2 linked regions of the Arabidopsis thaliana genome follow. The protein of the gene in region 1 interacts with the protein of each later gene in a biochemical or structural test. Each region holds a gene or a part of one and is shown on either strand. Other genes may lie near its edges.

What was found.
Region 2: the proteins of DRIP1 (region 1) and DREB2A form a complex in vitro, tested with the Arabidopsis thaliana proteins (one study listed by BioGRID).

The regions. Positions count from the first base shown.
Region 1 is NC_003070.9:2,078,309-2,083,854, forward strand, and holds DRIP1 (DREB2A-interacting protein 1), read right to left. Parts: upstream 3,790-5,546; 5' UTR 3,400-3,789; coding exon 3,294-3,399; exon of another isoform or gene 2,899-3,293; coding exon 2,799-2,898; intron 2,487-2,798; coding exon 2,162-2,486; intron 2,000-2,161; coding exon 1,569-1,999; intron 1,460-1,568; coding exon 1,409-1,459; intron 1,277-1,408; coding exon 1,204-1,276; coding exon of another isoform or gene 1,094-1,203; coding exon 914-1,093; 3' UTR 588-913; downstream 1-587. Other genes in the region: GAUT6 (galacturonosyltransferase 6), read left to right, coding at 5,381-5,531. UniProt on the Arabidopsis thaliana protein: E3 ubiquitin-protein ligase that acts as a negative regulator of the response to water stress. Mediates ubiquitination and subsequent proteasomal degradation of the drought-induced transcriptional activator DREB2A. Functionally redundant with DRIP2.
Region 2 is NC_003076.8:1,600,419-1,604,861, reverse strand, and holds DREB2A (DRE-binding protein 2A), read right to left. Parts: upstream 2,658-4,443; 5' UTR 2,493-2,657; intron 2,236-2,492; 5' UTR 2,213-2,235; coding exon 1,205-2,212; 3' UTR 823-1,204; downstream 1-822. Other genes in the region: AT5G05420 (FKBP-like peptidyl-prolyl cis-trans isomerase family protein), read left to right, coding at 39-212, 292-379, 469-510, 599-647, 744-822. UniProt on the Arabidopsis thaliana protein: Transcriptional activator that binds specifically to the DNA sequence 5'-[AG]CCGAC-3'. Binding to the C-repeat/DRE element mediates high salinity- and dehydration-inducible transcription.

The sequences.
Region 1 (5,546 bases):
TGATGTGTCATGTGTCTATGTTAAAAAGAGTCCGGATTATTCATAGATTGTGATTTACTAGTTTAAGTATGTAATCAACCAATTTTAATTGATATTAAAACACATGTATAACTTTCCTTTAGTTATGATGCATAGATTACGTTTCTTAAGAGCAACACATGTACAAGGTCATCCGAGAGGCAATCTAGTCTAGGTGCAATCTCTTCAATGATTTTTTTTTGTTTTCTTTTGGATATCGTTAAGCATCATGGCTATATGTAAAGCATGAATTAAAAAGAATCTGTTAAATTGCATACTCGTAACATTTTTTGAACATCATAACAATTTGTTATATAAATATGTTACTCATATTAAGCATGATGGTTGTCACCACATAGTGGTACTCACGATAACACAAAATAGTGATAATGAACTTCATTCGTCTTTTGTCAGATAAGTTTTATGTAGTTAATTTGGTAGTTTTCTACCTCCATATAGGTCATCACAGTTCTACTACATTCGTCATCCACAGTCAACACTTGAACAGTAATTCTTGAAAACCTTAGTTTCCATAGAAATGATGTAGTACCCAAATAAATGCATATAAATCAATCTAAAACATCTTAAACTACAACATTTGATTAGAAAGTGACAACAATGTTACATGCAAGTCCAGAGAGGACACATAGTAGAAGAAGAAGAAAGAAAAGGGAAACAAATTTTGTATTTTCTTGCACAGAAAAGCGACTCATGAGTGTATATTTCGTCTATAGAAAAAAATATTAATACTAATTTCACAACACATTCGACTGCTCCTGTAGTTCTAGTAATGTTCTCTCTTGTAATGCTTTGAGAGATTCCATAAACCGAAAAGAAAAGATTACCCTGTCTCCACAGAATCTTCTTCTGCAACAACATGAGTCTTTAAAGTCCTTTACATGTTGCACTCTGGTAGCTTCCGAGCATAGACAAGAACCATCGTAAAATCCTTTGCAGAAGAACCTACCAATGCAGCAAACCGTTGGTGGTTTGAACTTTTCTGGAGCCATAGATCCACTAAATTGTAAAGCGTCAGCGTTGGGATCACCGCTTCTCCCATACACTTTATCTCTATCTGAACATAAACCATAAGTATGTCCATTTTTTATCAACCAAACATATAAGTTCCATTATATTCAAACGTTCTATCCTTTCTCGTGCCATAGTGCATATAAAGACCCTTACCTCATTTTCACTCTCGAGATCTAGCTTCCTCATGAGGTACTTTTGGATGAAAGAAACTGTTGTATTTCCATCCCTATCACAGAATGAGACATTGGATTATCTTCCCCAACAAAAGAATTCCTCATAACAGAAAAATGAGGGACTATGTAAGATGCAGCGACAACACAGGATATATAAAACAAAGAATACCTAAACTGTAACCTACCTTATTCTCAAAAAATTTGCTGGAATTTGAGGTAAAGAAGTTCCTCCTTCCCTGTAACCAGTAAGCCCTTGTCAATATACCAAGAGAAGAGAAACAAAATGAAGAAAGAGAGAAAGATCATGAAAGGAAATAGTTTCAGATATGAGAGCAAAAATCTCACTGATCATTGGACGCCACAAGTGAGAACCAAACGGGACCATTTCTCCTCTCCTGTTTTGCACTTGACTCATCTGGTTGTGGCAAATTCCTTGAATCGCCTAAAGTGGTGGCAGACCTTTTGCGTTGAGTTGTACGCATTCTTTTAGGAGTAACAGTTTCTGATGTTGTAGGATCACCATTATTACTCTTGTCATCCTCACGTTTACATTTTCTCTTTTTATTCTTAGTTTTGGTTTTACTCCCTTGAAATTGATTGCGAGATACATTCGCGTGCTCAGATTTTGAACCTGACCCTTGAGAAGCAGAAGACTTCAAGGGCTTTGTCCCATTTGCCACTTCAACCAGAAAGTTCAAAGGTTTCCAATCCATTTTGGAATCCCAGGGTTCATCACCATCCTTGTTTTCTTTATTGGAGATGGACTCTTTACATGACTGCAAAAAACAAAATAACTCAAATGAATGTGAGACCAATAACAGTATCAAATATTTTTACTGAATATTTACTTTTGAAGTGTACCAAACAAAAATAAATATGTAACCAAATCATGTCAAATATGAAGTCATTACGAGAAAATAGAGTAGTTCAGTGATCACCTTCTTTGACTGTCTTTTATTCTGAGTGAATTTGTTAAGAGTGTCGGGTGAGCTTGTGCTCTCCAGAAGCTCATCCCCAGAAGATTCTTCCTTCTTCACAGTTCTCTCAGCCAAAGAACCATTACGTAACTCTTTTCTTGTAGGTGCTTTAGTTCTTCTTCTCGTTGTTCCAGCTTGTGCTGACACCATAGGTGTGCTCACAACCAAAGAAGATATAGATCTCTCCTTCCTCTTTCCTGGTAAGGACACAATTCCAGGAGCTTTCACTTTTCTTCGTTTTAGAGCAAAGATTTTGGCCCTCAAGTCTTGCAAATTGTGGTCAGGCCTAAAACCATGCACACAAGTGGCTCCCATCAGTACAATAACGAGTAAGAAAAAGGAAAGTACAAAAGAGATCTATTTAGATTCTCCTACAACATCCTATAAATGGTCTCTCTCTCATAAAAACCATTGTGCTACGTGTATTAAATGAACAAGATTCCAGAGATTGTGTTATAGCAGTTCATTTCACCAACAAGAAAAGCAATTGGATTGAGTCCACAAATTAGATGAACAAGGAGCAAAGAAATTTAACCAAACTAAACCATATTTTGATGAGAACTGGTAGAGTCTGAAATACAGAACACGAATAGCTTACCTCAGCTTCTCCAATGGGGTGCTACCGAGGTCGATATTGCATACGGGACAAGTCTCTATCTCATCCTCCGTGATCTTCTCATAGATGCATTTCCTACAAACTGCGTACGAAAGTAATCTAAAAAGTTATTCCATTCCAGTAGATAGCAACTAACAACATGACTTATAATAAATGTGAGCAAATTTCATACTTGGTATAAGAAAAAACTCAAATTGAATTGCATACAAGTAAGAAGCTGAAACCCACAAGGAAACTATACATGAAAATGCTGAATCAACTATCACTAGAAAGACGAAGAAGGAGAGATTGAAGCAGTCAAAATTGCATATTCTTTTTGGTCAACAAAAACTATTCATTGACCCACTTTTCAATTGTATCGATTATAGGACGAGACGAAGAAGACAGAGCTATAATATAATCATCCAAATTGAGAAGAAATCAAAGCCAATGTCAGCGAATTTCGAAACATTTGGTGGGTTAAAAAGAGGAACTGACATGTGTGGAGGCACTCGGAGATAGTGGTGGCGTCACGGAGGATATTGTCGCAGATAGAGCAGCTTAAGCATGCCCTCATCGTCTCCTTCTTCACCTTAATCATCATCTTTCTCTTTATCTGTTGGGCTTAATCACTCACAACGTGCTATCCCCAAAACTGCATGTGGACGAAAACGGCGAAGAAGTGTCGTTTCTTTCGCTCGGTCGCTGGTGATCTGAAGAATAAATGTTATGGTGCGAGAGAGATGGAAGAAGAATTGACGTACGATTCGGACAAGAAGTGGCCGTCGTCGTCTATTAAAATTTAAGAGACGCGATGTGTCACTTCTTTTTATTTTATTGGAACAAGGGTTTCTCTTTTTATCTTTGTGTTCTGTCTTAAGAGCTCTCTCGTCGACAAGAAAACGAGCGCTCAAAGACGTTTTTTTTTGGGTCAAAATCTTTGTGTTACTTTAATTAGGAAAACTAGGTCAAACATTCTTTATTTTGGTTAATCTAATTAGGAAAGAAGAGTTTTGTAAAAAAAAAAAGTTGAACGACATAAATTTCTTTTCAACTTTTTGGGTGAGAAATTGTTATTTGCTATCCTAATATTTTGAAAAGTAAATGATGGTGAACTCTTCATATTATAATCAGATGATGGTAAAAATGATTTGTATAACTATAATAATGGATTTCGTTTACATTAATCAATGAATATGGAACATTCGAATCAACGACCAAATGTAACGATTCGTCATTCGTATAATGGGGTACGAGATAACATCAGATAAGAGGTTTTGTTCCAAAGGGCCTGTAGAAGGCTTATGTACCCATTCGCTAATCGAAGCATGAAGGCTAATAAGGTTTCAAACTTTCAATATTGACACCTCGATTTTTAGTAGCATACAGATGAATGGTGATTAGGAAAAACAGAGAAATTTTCATATGTACGTATGTAGTTTTATGTGTCCTATGCTGATTAGTGTTTTAACCGACGTCAAAGTTAAGATTTTCGGCAACAATTTGATGATACACTAGCTAGCGATTTTGATCATTCAAAGCTTTGCGCATATTAAGTATCTTTATATGATACTGTCATGATTTATTAAACCGAGTGTTATGTACTCCATAATCTACCTCCACCATTTTACACATAATAAATGAAAAGACCCGTCGTTCCAATAGCGAATTAAGCAAATTGCCAACAACTTCATTAAATAAAGAAAAAACCCAAAATGTAATCTTACTTGGCTCAAAAAAAAAAAAGCATCCATAGTCAACGTTAACACCCATTTGACTTAGTTAAACATTTTTCGTTAACCAGTTAACATTTTTGTTGAAAAATAATGAACAGAATCGGCAAAAGTCATTTTTCGTTACAATTCTATTTATGCCATAATTTTTTTTGGCCGACATGCTAGATATCTTTTTCATAATAATAGGCTAATCATCCATTGATATGAGACTGAAGTTCCTTTCTTGTCTTCTAAGAGGAGGGAGGAAAAACTTTATCCACGTGTCTTCGTCTGACTGGTGATTGATAAAATTTGCAAAGAAGACTGATCACATTAAATTACTTACAGCTTCATCAACGGCATAATCACATGTCTTCACATGTACACCTGCCCGCACCTGATCCGCATCACTGCTTCCTTTCACCCTAATAACATTTGACATGTCAACACGAACACCCAAAAAACTATATACTATAAAGTTATAAACAAATTAATTCGTTCGACCAATAACATTAATTTAATTTTATAGAGACCTAACACAAATTAAACAATGATTATTTCTGTTAATTAAATATATATAAGTGAGCACAATCCCCCGATGATGCATGAAGAAGCTCTGAATCTAAAACTCCTCTCTCCGACCCCAAATCCAGAAATTCAAGCGAGGAATAGAATCTCCCACTAGAGAAAAGCAATCCCAGAAACCCTAAGTTCTTCACGTTTCGTTCTTTTGCTTGTTGATCAAGCAGGATATCTCCGAGATTTGTGAGTCTCTTGCTACTTCTTCCTGGAGAACGATTCAGGGTTTGATGTGATAAGAATAGTCATCGAGGAAGATAGATTTGGGGATTTTTTTTTATTTGTAGATTCATGAAACAAATTCGTCGATGGCAGAGGATTTTGATCCTCGCTCTGCTATCGATATCTGTATTCGCTCCGCTTATTTTCGTATCGAATCGGCTTAAGAGCATCACTCCCGTTGGTCAGTTTCGTCTCCTCTCCTTCTTATTTTCATTTCATTGTACTTGACGATCGT
Region 2 (4,443 bases), on another chromosome or scaffold:
CTTTTTTCTTTTGATATTATTGCAGGAGTGAAAGCTCCATGTCCCCATCTGAATCTGCTAAGAAGAATGAGAAGATAAGTGAGGAAGCTACAGTGGAGAGTAAAGCCTTTTCTATTAGTGTTGAGAAGCAAACGCCTGACCTAGATGGCCTCATTGTTGAAGAGTTATGCATGGGAAACCCCAACGGCAAGAAAGCTGAGCCTGGCAAAAGGGTATGAGCATTTAGTCCTAAACTGTTGTAGTTTGTGTGCAAATATTTGTTGGAGGTCAGTCTATTGTCTCTGAGTGCAGGTAAGTGTCCATTATACTGGAAAGCTTCAGGGGAATGGGAAGATTTTCGATTCCACCGTTGGAAAATCACGTTATAAGTTTCGTCTAGGTTGGTATTATAACTTGATGCGAAAGTAAGAGCTTTATTAATGTGTGAGTGGTACTTGGATACTTATGTGCTTGCTGTTACACATACAGATGCTGGAAAAGTCATTAAGGGATTGGATGTTGGCCTTAATGGTAACCTAGCTAGTTTCTTACTGGTTTTTCTTCACTAAATATGGTCAAATGGTGTGTTGTTTTGATCTCTTTTTGTAAATTTCTAAAGGAATGCTTGTTGGTGGCAAAAGAAAGCTTACAATTCCTCCAGAAATGGGGTAAAGCCTTTGCAAATCTTTTTTTATTTTTCCATAATGTGATGTTTTATTTTAAGCTTTTTTTAATGAGAGATGATAAAATTGTCTGGCTCACAGGTATGGTGCGGAAGGTGCTGGTAGCATTCCCCCTGACTCTTGGCTGGTCTTTGATGTCGAGCTGCTTAATGTTAAATAAAGCTGCCCTCTAATCCCTAGAGAACTTCCTAAGACTCAATCCAATGATGAGTTTTTTTGTGGAGATCGTATAGTTTTTCCTCTTACGATTTCAAATATTGTGAGACACACTAAGGCCCATAAAGCTTCACAAGTGTGTATTATTCATTCCTGTTGTTACAAAACATAAAACATATCTAAAGAACAACTTAAGAGAAGCAGACTAACAAACTATAGTTGTCTTCTCTATTGTCATATCACTGTTTCGATATATACAGTTCACCTTTATAACAAGAAAAAACGTGTTCTGTAGTTCTCTATATCACTAAAACTCGGATAGAGAATCAACAGTCGTTGTGGGATTAAGGCAAATATCAAATCCAAAAAGCTTCATATTGTTTTGTTTAGTTCTCCAGATCCAAGTAACTCAAGTCGTCGAAGAATCCATTACCATCCTTTCCCTCGAGCTGAAACGGAGGTATTCCGTAGTTGAGGCTTTGTAGCGGATCAAAACCACTTTGTTGACTCTCGGGCCTGTATGAACCGTTGGCAACACTGTTCCCCGGGTACCGGTCCTGATTTAAGCCTGCAAACACATCGTCGCCATTTAGGTCACGTAGAAGCTCATCGACATCAAACATGTCTGAAGAATCCAAGTGACTCTGATCCACATCATTGGGCCAACCATAGTCTGCAACAGATAGCGAATCCTGCTGTTGTTGCTGACAGGTTTCTACAATCCCTTGCTCCTTCTGTTTCTCTTTCTCTTTCAGAATATCACTCCAATAGTTATGTTCAAACTCGCTCAGCCAATGCTTATCCGCTTTAACACCTCTCTTCATCTCTTCCGCACCATTCTCCAGACAATACATCGGCTCCACTCCACCGGAGAAGGGTTTAGATTCACAATCTGGATCCTCTGTTTTCACATGAACACAACCAGGAGTCTCAACAGTACACACCTCAGACTGACTTGAGGTACTCGTAACCTCAGACGCATCAGACCGAGGGAAATTAAGACGAGCCAAAGGACCATACATAGCTTTAGCAGCCTCATCATAAGCAGAAGCAGCTTCTTGAGCAGTAGGGAAAGTACCAAGCCAAAGCCTGCTACCTCGATTAGGCTCTCTGATCTCAGCAACCCATTTACCCCAAATCCTTTGCCTAACTCCTCTGAAACTACATCGGCTATTCTCTGGTCCTCCTTTACCTTTCATACAACCCTTCTTCGACCCTTTCGCAGGTACTTTCCTCTTCTTGGTAGAAACTTCTTCTACGGTCTCGTTATACTCTTTCCATCTCTTTAATCTCTCAGCCACAGTAGTACCGTCACCTCTACTTCTAGATTTCCTTTTCCTCGATGTATCAATTTGTGTTCTGTTTCTATCTCCACTCTGATCATAAACTGCCATCTCCTTCCCAGAAACAACACAATCTACAATACAACAACACTTCAATATCAGAACACAAGCTGAAACATAAGGCAAGAGAACTTAAACTTGGTTCAAAATCAGATCGATTTACTTATTTGTTATCAAATTAGGAACACCTAAAATTTCCCAATTTCACAGCTATACCTAAAAGGAAATAATCGAAAACCTAAAGACGAAGATAAACCCTAGAATCACCAATTGACGAGACCTAATCAGAGAAATTAATTGAAAATTTGTAAGAAATCAGAAATCAACGTACCTATAGGGGACGAAATTTGAAAATCAAAGTCTCTTCCTTCGAGTTGATAAATCGCTTTCGTGTTTAGTCTTCTTGCTCGTATCTTTTCTTCTTCTTCTTGTGTGTAGCTTTTTCGAGTTTTCCTCTTCTTTTTATCAGACAGCTTTAGCAGAAATCAAAATATCTAAGGAAGACAAAGTATCTACGGAGTATTTATAGCCTTCTCTAGATTTTTCTAACATTATTTTATTTTTCTGTTTGAGAGCAAGGTTACGTGTCAGTTTTTGATTCGAACATAAAGGCTTAGACGACTTTTCCGTTCGACGAGTGTCCTCCCGAATCTTCTCGAAACACGCTGTTGATACGGAAAAGTAAAGTTTAAACCTTTTTAAAATTGATTTATGGATAAGATCATAAAACTACTTCATTATTTAAATATTATGAAATTTTAAAATATCTTCATTTTTTTTTTATTAACCCTGACAACACAACACTGTCTCATCTGCTCTTTCTCGATTTTTCTTGGTTTATTGCCAGTTTGCCACTGCATCACACTTACTAGATGTGTAATTGGATGATGATGTTTATTGCCTGTTTTTCTAGTTTTTACAAACGTGCACATTATTCAATTTTGTTTTGATGAGATACTTATCGTTTATATAGATATTTTTAAAAAGATCACGGTTAATATTGTAAAATTAAAGGTTTCCGGTGTACGTACGACATAGAGCGAATTCATAAATGTGTCAGCCAGAAATGTCTTAAACATGAAGTATTAGTTTAAAGTTTAAGCATTAAGTATTAGCTAGAGACGTGTCAAATGGTGAAGCTCAAACTTGGGTGGCTTAGCTTCGAGCAGAGGTGATAGGGTCCATTACCTTATAAAATTTGGGAATCGCAAGTTGTAGCAAAGCAGCAGTCATTTATAGCCTTTGCATGTGCCTCATGTGTCCTTTGCTAACCAAAGCCACTTCATCCACTACGTGTCTCTAACGGCATCGCTAACGTAAGCTCACGCAATTGCCTACGTACTTCAACCTCATGGGCCTTAGTTACTTAACATCCATTATCAAACCCATTGCCTACGTGATACAATCCCATGTGCCTCAGTTAATTAACATCCATTATCAAACCCTTAAAGCCCGTTAATCTAAATTAGCCCATTGGATGGGTGTCGTCCATTTTATTTCTACCGTCGGTGTTGCTACTATCTCGCTATCTCAAGCACGATCGGGTGAGCATCTTCTAGTCTAGTCGATTGAGCCTACAAGTTTCTATCTTCTGGATCTATATGAAATTTCAGTTTGTTTGTTTTTTTTTTCGCTGAAGAGAAATTTCAGTTTTTATTGGTCTAAATAAGGCATGAATTTGGAAATCTGTATCTACGAGTTGGTTTCTTCGCTGTAATGCTTGTTTGTTTTTGGTTTAGTGAACAACATTTGGATGATAAATTATTTGTGCGGAAAAAGCTGCAAGATGATGCCATGATGGCAACACTAATTTTGTTGCTGACTGTAGACTCTCTTTTCTTCGACGACCGTGAGAAGAGCTCTGTAAGTTTGGCTTCTTTCTTTCCATATTAGTATGAATAGGTTATTCGCGTGGCTATGAATCATTCAGCATTGTCTAAGGCCTAGGATCGATAGGGAGGAACGCATTCATTACAATGATTTAGGTTATCGATTACAAAACCATTATTGGAAAACGAGATGTAAGTAAAATGTTGACTTGGCTTGGCCAAACCACGTTAGAATTGTGTTAAGAAAAAACGAGCACATAGTGCTCACTAAACTTGGCTCTGTTAACATCCCAAGGGTCGTTGACCTTATGAAAAAAATGTTATCTTGGTTACAGTTCATTTTTAAAATAACATAAATATTTGATCGAGTCGTAGATGACTGGATGCCAAGATTGGTGGTCAACCCGAATGATCGTGCACACACCTCAGTTAATAAACTAAAACATTAGGAAA